3 linked regions of the Coturnix japonica genome follow. The protein of the gene in region 2 purifies or fractionates together with the protein of the main gene of each other region. This does not show direct contact. Links are inferred from orthologs where the notes say so. Each region holds a gene or a part of one and is shown on either strand. Other genes may lie near its edges.

Region 1 (4,034 bases), on a different chromosome or scaffold from region 2:
GCCATGGCTGCCCTGGAAGGACTGCAGGGACACAGCGTGACTCAACCCAGCGTCCCCTGTGCCACCCTCACCCCCTCCTCCATCACCACCACGCCACCGTGGGGAGGCACTGTCTGCTATGGAGATGCCGTGGGGAGTATGGGCACAGGGACACCTGGCACTGGGGACACCACGGAGGGGACACTGCAGGGGGGATGCTGTGGAGGGGACGCTGTGGAGGGGACAGCATGAAGGGGACTATGCAGAGAGAGGACAGACACCACTGCCCTGGGGGGACTCTCACTGTTTCCCAGGGACACGGCAGAGGGGACGATGGCCACCCCAGGGCCCCGGGGAGGTAACGCGGGCGCAGAGGGGGCACCTTGGAGATGAGCTCCTCGTGCCTGGCCAGGTGTGCACGGCAATGTACGCAGCTGTAGGTGCGGTGGGAGCGCGGTAAGTAGCTGTGGAAGGTCCGGGGAGGCAGACGAGCGGCGGCGGGGACCCGGTGGCGGCGGGCGGGGGGCACGGCGGGCGGCAGCGCCCCGGGGGGTCGCGGGGGTGCGGGGGGCATGGTGCAGCCCCCGCACAGCCGCTCGCAGGGGAAGAAGCAGCGCAGCAGCGTGCTGACAGCCGTCGTCCCCCCGGGTGAGAAGCGGGCGGTGAGGGGGGGCGGCCTGCGAAGGGTTAATGGGGATGGGGTGAGGAGGGGGCAGCGCTGTGCCCCGCAGCACCGCCCTACCCCCCCCACTCCCCCCGTCCCCGGTGCCTCTGAGCTCACCGCCTGCCGTGCTCCCCAATGCCGCTGTCCCCGGTGCCGGGGCGGGGCGGGGGCAGCAGACGGAGGTGGGGGGGAAGGGAGGGGAGAGCCGCGGTACGGGCACTGCATCACGGCGCCGTGACTCACTGCGCGACGTCACCGCACGGCGGCGACACGGCACCGATACGGCACCGACACGGCACCGATATGGCACCGATACGGTACCGACACGGCACAGATACGGCACCGATACGGTACCGATATGGCACCGACACGGCACCGCCAACACGGGCAGAGCTGAGGCCGCTCTGCCGGCTCCGTGCGCTTCCGAGCGGCCCCCGGGGCAGGAGGGGAGCGTGGGTCCCGTTGTGCCCGCGGCACACAGCGGGGCCGGGAGCGGTGAAACGGGGAGAGGCTGCGGGTGCGGCCCCCGATAGGAGCTGTACGGTGAGATACAGGCAGCACCGGGGGGCTGCCCGCAGAACCGGGCCCGGACTGCATCTCCCAGCACGCCCCATCCCGGTGATGGAGCGGGCTGCGCTACCACCTCAGTTCCGTCGCGTCCTGTGACGTAAGACGGCCCTGCTGCAGTCCGGGCTCCGTCCCGTGCTGCCCCGTCCCGTTCCCGGGGTCCAGCCGTGCCGCACTGCGCGGTGCGGTCGGGCCGGGCCATGGCGGATGATGGCGGCGATGAGAAGAAGCAGGTGGCAAAGTTCGAGCTGGAGCGGGAGACCGAGCTGCGCTTCGAAGTGGAGGCCTCGCAGACGGTGCAGATGGAGCTGCTGACCGGCATGGCCGAGGTGTTCGGCACCGAGCTGACCCGCAACAAGAAGTTCACGTTCGATGCCGGTGCCAAGGTGGCCGTGTTCACGTGGCACGGCTGCACCGTGCAGCTCAGCGGGCGCACCGAGGTGGCCTATGTCTCCAAGGACACCCCCATGCTGCTCTACCTCAACACACACACGGCCCTGGAGCAGATGAGGCGGCAGGCGGAGCGCGAGGACGAGCGGGGACCCCGCGTCATGGTGGTGGGCCCCACCGACGTGGGCAAGTCCACCGTGTGCCGCCTGCTGCTCAACTACGCCGTGCGCCTCGGCCGCCGGCCCACCTTCGTGGAGCTGGACGTGGGGCAGGGCTCCGTGTCCATCCCCGGCACCATGGGAGCCCTGTACATCGAGCGGCCGGCTGACGTGGAGGAGGGCTTCTCCCTGCAGGCCCCGCTGGTTTATCACTTTGGCTCCACCACACCCGGCACCAACATCAAGCTGTACAACAAGGTGAGTGTGTGGAGTCCCTGCTGTGTCACCTTGTGCTTGGCCCTGCTTGGAGCTCCAGGGTGTCTTGCCCGCCCCTGTGAGTCAGGGGTTGCCTATTGTATAAAACCGTGGTGCGATGCACCAACAAAAGCACGAAGGGTAAAAAGCTGGTCCAAATCCCCAGCGTCCTTCTCTGTCTGCAGTTTGGTGATGGTTAGGAGCCCCTATTTGGCTGAAGGTTGCCCTCAGCCACACGCTTGCCCTCGTCCTGTCTGTGCAACATTGGGATCAGCTCTGCTGATGTGGTCAAGCAGCCTTTAGTGCACGTAATGCACTTTATGGGCAGCTTCAGCACCAAATGCGGTTGCTGCCCCTCTGGGGCTATTAACTGGGAGGTGGGCAAGGAAGGATTTCAGCTCAAGTGACTGCCTGTGGCCCAGGCATTGCTTCTACCTCTTAGCACTAAATAAACCCACTGAGTGAGTTAGGAGCATTGCCTCTGATTGCTGTATCGCTAAGAATGGGACAGGTCCTCATCACATGGCCTCCAGCTGTGTGGATGCCTTGTGGGAATGGAAACATCCCTCTCAATCCCACATGCTTTATCCTCGTGTCCCAATATCTGCCTGCAGATCACATCCCGCCTGGCTGACGTCTTCAACCAGCGATGTGAAGTGAACCGTCGTGCGTCGGTCAGCGGCTGCGTCATCAACACATGCGGCTGGGTGAAAGGCTCTGGTTACCAGGCGCTGGTTCACGCTGCTTCGGCTTTTGAGGTAGATGTGGTGGTGGTGCTGGACCAGGAGCGGCTCTACAACGAGCTTAAGAGGGACCTGCCCCACTTTGTGCGCACTGTGCTGCTCCCCAAATCCGGTGGGGTGGTGGAGCGCTCCAAGGACTTCAGGCGGGAGTGCCGAGATGATCGCATCAGGGAGTATTTCTATGGCTTCCGGGGCTGCTTCTACCCCCACGCTTTCGATGTCAAGTTCTCTGATGTTAAGATCTACAAGGTGGGGGCTCCCACCATCCCCGACTCCTGCCTGCCGCTGGGCATGTCGCAGGAGGACAACCAGCTGAAGCTGGTGCCGGTGACTCCGGGTCGGGACATGGTGCATCACCTGCTGAGCGTCAGCATGGCCGACAGCCCCGACGACAACATCTCGGAGACCAGCGTGGCCGGCTTCATCGTGGTCACCGGGGTGGACCTGGAGCGCCAGGTGTTCACCGTGCTGTCTCCTGCCCCTCGCCCGCTGCCCAAGAACTTCCTGCTCATTATGGATATCCGCTTCATGGACCTCAAGTAGCTCCAGCAGGGATGGGGCAGGGGGGGACGTGCGGGATGGCCATGTGTGTCCTTGTACCACTTCTCATTGCCCAGCAGCTTCCATGCGCTGTGTTAGTGTGGGCACAGCTGGAGCAGGAGGCCATATGTTGTTTTTATATCCTTTTGTAACATTTGTTATTAAATTCATGTCTCTTTGGCTCTGTGCTGCTTGTTGCCTAGGCTGTAGGATGGAGGGATGGGCCCCTGGGTGCTGATCCCCTCTCCCCCCCGCCCCCCAGTGGCGCATGCGCGTGGCTGCTTCCCTTTTGGCGCATGCGCAGCGCGCTCCCCCGGCTCCTTCCAGTGTGTTCCCAGGCTCCGACCAATGAGGACGCGCTGCCGACGGGGCGGGACACGCATGCGCAGCCGTGACGTGGTGCCCATCCGCCGAGCGCTGCGCTCGCTCCGTGCCCGGTAGCGTTGGGCGCCGCCCGGGCCGCGCCGCAGTGTGGGTGAGTAACGCGGGATCCCCGCACGGCCCGTCCCGCTCTCGTCGCTCCCTTCTCCTCCCCTCATTGCCGGCCGTAGGGCCGCGGAGCCCCGGCCGCGCCGTGCCCCGGTGCCGCCTCCGAGCCCACGCCCGCCGCTTCACGGCTCGGCCGCTCCCGGCCCTGCCCGCCGCTTCCTCCCGGGCCCTGAGCGCTGACCCGGGAGTTGTTCGCGTCCTTCCGTGCGCGGGGCCGCGGAGCAGCGGCGTGTTGTGGGAGCGGCACTA
Region 2 (4,336 bases):
AAAACCACCCGTGCAGCTCGTGCCCAGGCTTACTATTTGAGCAAGGAAATACTGACCTAAACACTGCCAACTACTAGCAGCTTATGCAGATAGCACAAACCTTCAGGGCCCAGGAATGAGGACAGACTATTTTCACCTTCCCAACCACCTCCAATGGCTTCTGCTTTAATGTTAAGTGAACTGCATTTACTTGTATTCAGACCTGAAATTCCTAAAGCTGTTGTCAAGCAGGAAGACAGTACATGCTTGTATCAAGCATATACAGGCTTTAATGAACTCACCTGGCATTAAAGCCCAACATTTGGCTCACTTTAGTGACAATGTGCTCTCTGCACTTGCTCTATAGCAAAACCTAGTCACAAACTGTACTTTCAATCAATGTGATGCATTCACTCTTTGCTCCTCTAACTCACATCCTTCCAGTAACAGATTCCATGCACACTGATGCCAGCAGCAGAGCAAACAGCATCACCACAAAACAAACAAGTCCAGAGGCTCCAAGTGAAAAGCCCCAGTGAAACAGTACCAGATAGGACGTACACACAGCACATCATCTCCCTGTCATTAAAAACTAATTAGAACGTACTTGCTGGCTTTGACTCAATTCCTAGGAATCAAAGTTTCCAACGTAGGTGGAAACCTACTACGTTAAATAAACACAGTAACTCAGCACACAGGAGCAATTTCTCAAAGGCCCCATATTGCAACTTGCTGCTCAGTTTACCATCCTGCAAGTCCTGTAAGCAGATCTGCTCTATCACACTGTATTTATGAAACCGAGCCCACAAGAAATGACCACTGTTTGCCAATGGAAGACTCTTCAGTAACTAGATAGCACTTGAATCCATCAATCTGCTGAGCCATTCTCTTCCCCCTCACAAATTGCTTCTGATGATACACTCTTAGGAAAGCACAGAATTAAGATGGAAGTTTGTTGCTAAAGACTGATTTGTCACTCCTGAAGCCTAAGCAAAAAACATAGCGTATCTAAAACATGCTGTGTCGAGATCACAGCTCAAAGGATAGTTGTGCGTTAGATTCTCAGCAAGTATGAGGCACCTCCAGTTGAAAGCCTCTCATCTAGTCTTCTTTTTAACCTATGGGCAATGGGATCCAAACACTGAGCACAGCCTCACCTCTCATGGCTCACTAACACGTCCGCAGGTATTGGCACCATCACTTGGAGATCAGCCTGCTCTTTTTCACGGGCATGTAAGCATACAAGCTGCAGTTCTGCTAATCCAACGTGCTTCACTTCATGCCAGCTTCTCCCTAAAAAGGTCAGTTGTCGATGAGAAGGATCAGGACACAAAACACAAGTTTCATTCATTCAAATATTAGGTTTCAAATTTTGTTTAACATTTTTGGTTGTTTCCCTCCTTCTCCTCACAGAACATTTCCCAGGAGAGACAAACAGCCCATGCAAACGCTAAGTTCCCTTTTTGAGTGCTCCTATGGAACATTTATTACACTGCCTGCCCTCCTTTTCAATTAAGCCAGTTTGGGAGAGTTTGCAGAGCTTTAGAATCATAGAATCCTTAGAGTTGGAAAGGACCTTTGGAGGTCACCTGGTCCAACTCCTCTGCAATGAACAGGGACATGCACAGATTCATAAGGTGCTCAGAGCCTGGTCCAGCCAGGCCTTGAAAGTCTCCATGGATGGGGCACCCACCACATCTTGGGCAACCTGTGTCAGTGCCTCACTGCCCTAACTATAAAAGACACTGTTCATTGTCACATAACTCTATTCCACTCTTGTAAAGCTCCAAAAGACTACACAAAGCTTGCCATAATTATTGCCACCAGGCACCCTTCTTTCCTACAGATATCCTTGACCTTTCCAGCCACCAGCATCCCAATGACGCCAGGGCACTTCTGCCAGTTCCTAATCTGGACTCTGAGGGAGCTGCTGTGATTTAGAAGCCTTAATATTAACACACAGAAGAGCATTCTATTGCCACAACAACCCCTGAGCTTGTACCCTCTCCTTTCTGCCTCATTCTTTCTTCCCCTGCTCCTCTCCTGGCACTGCAGCCATGCCAGCAGATGAAGGCAAGCCCTAACCTTTGCAAAGGCTCTTACAGATATGTGATGGGAATCTGCAGTGCCAAAACACAGCGTTACTTATGGAACGATCACTGCATCTAGTTTGAAAACCACTGCCAAGGACTTTACTAGGAATGGCTCTGCTGTCATAAAACCTGAGTACATGTGAATGCATTTTTGCTATGCTCATCCAGTCCATTCATTCAATTACCTTCCAGGAGGTCCAGGTACACCAGGAAAGCAGCATAGATCTGAGAGCTGTTGGATATATCGAGGGACATCATCGCTGTGAACTGAAAGCCAGAAGGCAGCATCGGTCAGAGGAAGCTCCCTCCGCCTCCATCCCCGCACAGCGGGCAGCCCGACCCGCCCCCGCCCCGTACCGTGGGGTGCGCGGCCATCCAGTCTCCACCATCAGCAGCATCGTCACCGCTGCCCCCCGCCCGGCTCCTCTTGGCTCCCGAGCCGCCCTCCGCCGCCCCGCATGGCTCCTCCATGCTCCCCCGGTGCAACACGGCCGAGCTCCGGGCGGCACAACGCAGCGCTGCCCGCCCTTGTAGTTCCGCCTCCACGCTGTTCCCTGACGGCTGCGGGGGGAGCGACACTGAGGGGTGTAGGAAGGAGGAGGCAAACGAAGGCAAAACTAAATAGTGTGCTGTTATAGCCCGAGTCATTCTGTGCGGAGAGTTCTCCTCCCAGTCCGCACACGTATCTGGGATTGCTCCAGTGCCGTGTTGACCCTCATTAGGTTCACGCGGACCCACTGCTCCAGCCTGTCCCTCTGGACGGCATCCCTTCGTCTTGTTGCATCGACTGCACCGCTCTGCTGGGCGTCATCAAGCTGGCTGAGGGTGCACTCAAGGCAGAGCTGGGAGCAGCCAGATGGCGGCACTGCAAAGGGGAAACACCAGGGCTGAGCGAGAAACAGAAGGTTAAATTGGATGGGTTTGGACCCTGTGCGTGTGGAAGAGGGTCCTGGCTTAGGAAACAACGTGGTACAGCTGGAGCAGCCGTGGCTCAGTGCATTGGGAAGCGCTGGGTGCCAGCCTTGTGTGTCACACACAGCGCATCTGCCACCAGTGAGGGGTCTGCGGCAGCACCGTGTGTGCCCGGCTCCTTCGGGGCCCTGATCCCTTGGTGTGGATGCCAGCACTGCTCCTTCCGTGTGGTTAATGAAGCTGAGCGGAACAGCGACATGTGGCCAATGCAGCGTGAAAGGAAAGCCTCGTTAGCACATCGTTCTAGAGGGACAATTAGAAAGATGTCACGGAGGGGAAACAGGAACACGTCCTCCTTAATTGCTCCGGTGGATGCTTATGGACTGTAGGAGGTTCTCCGATCGCAGCGTACCTGGAGACCCTTTACTGAAGTCGTGATAGGAGAGCGGGGGAGACCTTATCGCCGTCCCACAGGCGCAGGTTGGCTGTTGGGACAGGCATTAAAGCCGCAGGTGCGCTGCAGCCACACGAGGCGTATCGAACTATCCGCCCCGCCTCCACCTGCCCGTCGCCGGCTCCGCCCTGCAGCCCGTGGGGGCGGGCCGAGCCGCGCCGAGCGGAGCCGGGGGATCCGCGCTGCCCATAGGGCAGCTATAGGGCAGCTATAGGGCAGGCTGCGGGGCGCCGGGCCGCCGCTGCCCCTCCCCGCGGCCCCGCGCCTATCATGGCTGTGTGCACGGCGCCCCGCGCCCTCCATCCCGCTCTCCTCCTCCTCCTGCTGCTTCTGCTGCTCGGCTGTGGGACCAGCCTGCCCCCCGAGCCGCCGCCGCCGCCGCCGTCGGACCCCGAGCTGCAGCCGCAGCCCCTGCCCGAGTCGGCTCTGCAGAAGCCCACCGTGCTGCTGGCCATCATCGCCCGCAACGCGGCCAGCGCGCTGCCGCACTTCCTCGGCTGCGTGGAGCGGCTGCGCTACCCCAAGAGCAGGATCGCGCTCTGGTAAGGGGGCCGGGGCCGCGCGGTGCTGCGGGGATGGGGATGGAGCGAAGCCGGGCACCGCTCCGAAGCCGCAGAACGCGGTGAGGGGGAGCGGCTCGTTCGCTGTGCCTCCAGTGCGGGTGGGCGACGGGAAGGAGCGCTGATGCGGGGCGTCCGCTGGGGGATCTGTGTCCGCATGGATCGGGGAGCGCCGTGTGCGGAGCGTCGGAGCCCATGTGGGCTGCGCTGTCTGCATCTGTCTGCAGAGCTGGAAACAAATCTCTTATCTGGATGTAAATGATGAGAACAACGGGACCTGCCCCACATGGATAAGCGAGTACGCGTGGAAATGGGGATGTAGGGCCTGACCCGCAGCT
Region 3 (4,177 bases), on a different chromosome or scaffold from region 2:
AAGATAGGGAAATAGGGAATAATTATCTAGAAAAAGATAAGTGGGGGTGGTGGTAGTAGGGAAACTCAGAACAACTCTACTTCCCTTCCTGTCTACCCTGTCCCTGGGAAAGGTCATGTTGCAAAGGCTGGGCTTGGCTTCCTGCTTTCATCCTCTGCTGAAGCTCCCAACACACCTGGTAACGTAGCAGGTTCATCACCTCCTGGGACAGCAGAATTTCATAGGCTTCCTGGACTGACATAATCATGTCTTTGTAAAAGAGCTGAAGAGAGCCCTGCGGAGATAAAGACTGATGTTTAGAGGATCACAGGGAACAAATCTATGCAAGGTCATAACAGCATCTTGTCAGTGGGTCCCAATAGCTGGACCCAGCACCATCCTTGCCTTTTCAAGCACTTCCTGGATTCCTACATACAGTCCCTCCTCAACACTATGGTTTTAGCAGTGAGGTAAGATGTTTTTATCCAAAGCTGCCAGCTTCTGTCCCAGCACTACCCCTTAATACTACTGCATCTGCTCAACTGTTGAAATATAATTGTTTTGGGAGATAATTCCCTTTAATTTTGATCATCTCAGTAATCTAGTACACAGCACAGCCACAAAACATTTAGTACTAGCAACATGGAGAGAGCTGAGAAAGGGGAACTGAAGGCATCTTCAGATACTACCAGCTGGTGGCTCCTTAAACATTTACAGCCTCAGACCCAGAGATAAATTTCACCAGGCAATAGCAATTAATCTCCAGAGGCTATACCTCTTTTTCCAAAAACAAGCAAACAAAAAACACACAGATGGTCTTCTCTGCTTCTGGGGATGGGCTCTGTACTTAACAAATGATTAAGTATTACTGAGGGGTTTTTTTGTTTGTTTGTTTGTTTTTTAAAATCTATTGTCGAACTGCAAAAGGCAAAGAATATCCAGCTACTGCAATAAAGACTTAATATTACTAGATACCCATGAATCTAATTAAAGGCAAAAAAGCTCCCCTTTAGATTGGTGCACCTATGCCACTGGTAACAACTGTCTGTGAAGAGAAAACCCAGAGTTATTACTACTTTACTAACAGTAACACAAATAATCCAGACACTTTTCCAATATCTACCATCACATCTGATATATAGTGGGATAAAGACAATACCAGTTGGATAAATTGGCTACTGGTTCAATTGACACATCCTATCAACAGCACAAAGACTGCTTTCGAATGCAACAGATAAACCCATGGCCTGGAAACCAACAATGCCATCAGCAAACAGGCTAAGAGACAACACCTTGGGAATCAGTCATTTATCAACTGCTCAGTTTGCAGCAACAACCAACACACGTCAATTGACTTTAGACGTGAATCAAAAGGGAGGTAAACATCCAGCTACTACAGCTCCCTCAGTCATTCATGAAAAGCCCAGTGCTCCCATCCATGTGTAGGTAGCCTACTTACACACTCCAGCAAGTACAGAGCCTCCTCAGGCAGTAGACACTGTTTGCCACACTGTGAGAATCCCATAGTGTGCCAGAACTTCCCCTGCAACAGAAGCACAAACCTGTGATGGATTATGGCTGTTCACTGCTGACAACCAGGCTCTCTCCCATTTCAAGAAGCAAAACAAGGAGTTGCCAGCAGGAGATGATGGTACTGAGTACACTCTGCAGCAGACTCACCGCAGGGGACTCCAGCTCCACAATGCCCTGTTCTGGCTTCCACACGGCTTTCACCAGATTCCCCCTGAGAAGGTTAAAAATTAGGGTTTCTTTGTTACCAGCATGTTTTACAATCAGCCATGATTAACTCCTATTCTAGCAATTTAACAAGGTTAAACAACAGCAAACCTTCAGGCAGTACTTTTACAATGTAAAGCCTGAGAAAGCTGCTATTCTCTGCATCCAGCAGTACCAGGTGAGGATTTTTATCATCACACGCTAGTTAAGAGCACCTCCAGGCATCACCCAAATGTCAGTCCATACTGCAGCATGCTGCTGGAGATACAACTATATGCTTAGTACCTCAATTTCCCTGTGTCAATGGCTGTTATATGAAAGGAACCTTAACCTTTCCAACCTCCCTTCCATTCTGAGAGCCTCCATTGCTGCTCCAGACACATGTTTACAGATATGCAGTGGAAGGCAACAACGCACTCCGCCTTGCCTGAAAGCCACCACCCTGAAAGCCTGTGCATCTTTATGCAAAGGGCTTCTACCACTTAGCAATAACAGGAAAACTGTTAGCACACAACTGGTGGAGAAGCGACAAACAGCTGAGGAAAGCTCCCAAGAAACCACGATTTCCAGAGTACAGCAGAAACCACCAGAACTGATGCAGCATAAGGAGCTCCGAGCGATGCCTGCACTGCAGCACCACCAGCACGCAGCCTGCAGGCCCACCCGGCCGCACCAAGGGGCTGTGCGGGCCCATCCAAGCCGGCTACGCCCCCACTGCCGCTGGGACCCAAGCTCTGGGCGCAGACACTTACGGCCGTTCCACACGCTCCTCAGCCAGCTGCTGCCGCTGCTCCTCCAAACACACCCGCAGCCGCTCGGCCTGCTCGGCTGAGCCGTCGGGCACCAGCTCCTTCTGCCCGCAGGAGCGCCGAGGGGCCCTATTCCGCCTGCAGGGAAGGAGGGAAGCGGTAAGAGCACAGCAGCGCCAAACCAAGCACAACCGCTGCCACTAAACCATCAACTTCACCGCTCCCATCTCCACCTCAGCCGTCAGAGCCGCCCTTTTAAGTCTCCCACCCTCCCTGCCCTTCACCTCGGGTGCCGCGAACAGCCCGACTCCATCGCCGCTCAACACGGGACGCCCCAGCGCCGGCGGAGCGCTATGAGAGCCTCGCGCGCCCCCTGGCGGCTCGGAGGGCGCAGGGAGCCGGGAGCAGGAGCCCGGCGGGGCGGGGCAGCCGGTCGCCGTCGGTGTTCATGGAGCTGTACGTGAAATGAGCAGAAAAACAGCTGGGAAAGATGATGGGTCGTTAAAGACTGGGACATCGCTAACTAATAACCTCGGAAATGTAGCTGAATTTCAATAAACTCAGATGGTGAGAAAAAAAGATAAAAATGCGCCTCCTTCCACCTCATTATCGTGGGCATCACAGTTGCTGTAGGGCCACCCAGAACCGTCTGGAAGTGCCTGCAATCCTCCAGAACTGGCTGGGAGCCTCTGGAATGCTCTGGAACCTTCCAGAACAACCCACAACTGTCCAGAATGGGCCAGAACTCCTCTGGAACAATCTGGAATAATGTGAAACAAGTGGATGGGGAACAACCTGAACTTATGTGGCTTGTCTCCCACTAGTGAGTCTGTTGAATGAAATTTGTTCAATTAGCAACCAGGGAGGACTGATAAAACACTATTAGTCGGATTCCAACCCTATGCTAAGGGCCAGTGAGTCACCTCTTCCCACCTGGCAGAACATGCCTGCTCTCCGTCTTGGTTACCCAGCTGTCATGGGCCAGTTTAGCTGTATAGAAGGTTCAGGTGGCAATCAGTTTTGGGGGAAGGATGTCACTAACCTGCTATCTGGCATGGCTTAGGGACCTCAATTCCAGCTTACCCTTAGGGCTGCAACAGTGGGGAAGGCAGGATTAGATTTTATTGCTGTATGTTCAGAGTTTGAAAGTGGGTGAAGGGCAAATGAAGGCAATGACAGATCCTTTATTTGAGAAATAGGTGCTATAGAAAAAGGCACCAAAAGGAATTAACTCACTCCTCCCAGTAACAGCTTGGAGAAAGGGACAAGTTGAAGAATGTGACCCTTCCAGTTCGTATAGTCAAACTGCAGCGGAGAAAAGGGGCGGGAGGAAGGGGGGACCCCACGCAGACTCAGATTGCATGGAAGCAGGGTGGTTCCAGACCTCCCCCTTCTGCTCCAGGTACTCATGTACTCTTGTAGCTCACTCACTGATTTAGGCTGTGACCCTAGAATTCCACTACAGTGGGGATGAGGATAGTGGAAATGGGGAAACTGATGAGGCTGAGCCAGGGAGTGAACCCTGCAAGCACAGCCAAAGTTGATATCTGTTGATAGCTCAGGAGGTAGAAGTAAATAAGGTGGGCAGTCAGTATGCCACTTGTGTGAATTGATCACAAGCACAACTGTGACATGAGTTTCAGTACTGCGTCAATTCTCTGCTTTTCTCACTGTGCTTTTCACACAGACTGCAGCAGTCCTTCAAGCTGCCT

The links.
Region 1: the proteins of TSEN15 (region 2) and CLP1 purify together in Homo sapiens (affinity purification with mass spectrometry; 4 studies listed by BioGRID and IntAct, counting the BioPlex papers as one, with this or other methods). This does not show direct contact. The link is inferred for Coturnix japonica from reciprocal best matches to the Homo sapiens genes TSEN15 and CLP1.
Region 3: the proteins of TSEN15 (region 2) and TSEN54 purify together in Homo sapiens (affinity purification with mass spectrometry; 4 studies listed by BioGRID and IntAct, counting the BioPlex papers as one, with this or other methods). This does not show direct contact. The link is inferred for Coturnix japonica from reciprocal best matches to the Homo sapiens genes TSEN15 and TSEN54.

What each region holds. Positions count from the first base shown.
Region 1 is NC_029520.1:7,785,375-7,789,408, forward strand, and holds CLP1 (polyribonucleotide 5'-hydroxyl-kinase Clp1), read left to right. Parts: upstream 1-1,294; 5' UTR 1,295-1,410; coding exon 1,411-2,016; intron 2,017-2,627; coding exon 2,628-3,299; 3' UTR 3,300-3,478; downstream 3,479-4,034. Other genes in the region: YPEL4 (protein yippee-like 4), read right to left, coding at 1-21, 362-868. UniProt on the Homo sapiens protein: Polynucleotide kinase that can phosphorylate the 5'-hydroxyl groups of double-stranded RNA (dsRNA), single-stranded RNA (ssRNA), double-stranded DNA (dsDNA) and double-stranded DNA:RNA hybrids. dsRNA is phosphorylated more efficiently than dsDNA, and the RNA component of a DNA:RNA hybrid is phosphorylated more efficiently than the DNA component.
Region 2 is NC_029523.1:7,227,936-7,232,271, reverse strand, and holds the start of TSEN15 (tRNA-splicing endonuclease subunit Sen15), read right to left. Parts: upstream 2,839-4,336; 5' UTR 2,721-2,838; coding exon 2,430-2,720; intron 2,340-2,429; coding exon 2,258-2,339; intron 1,273-2,257; coding exon 1,137-1,272; intron 1-1,136. Other genes in the region: COLGALT2 (procollagen galactosyltransferase 2), read left to right, coding at 3,709-3,980. UniProt on the Homo sapiens protein: Non-catalytic subunit of the tRNA-splicing endonuclease complex, a complex responsible for identification and cleavage of the splice sites in pre-tRNA. It cleaves pre-tRNA at the 5' and 3' splice sites to release the intron.
Region 3 is NC_029533.1:9,501,526-9,505,702, reverse strand, and holds the start of TSEN54 (tRNA-splicing endonuclease subunit Sen54), read right to left. Parts: upstream 2,857-4,177; 5' UTR 2,779-2,856; coding exon 2,750-2,778; intron 2,714-2,749; exon of another isoform or gene 2,699-2,713; intron 2,604-2,698; coding exon 2,469-2,603; intron 1,724-2,468; coding exon 1,660-1,723; exon of another isoform or gene 1,542-1,659; coding exon of another isoform or gene 1,523-1,541; coding exon 1,439-1,522; intron 275-1,438; coding exon 176-274; intron 1-175.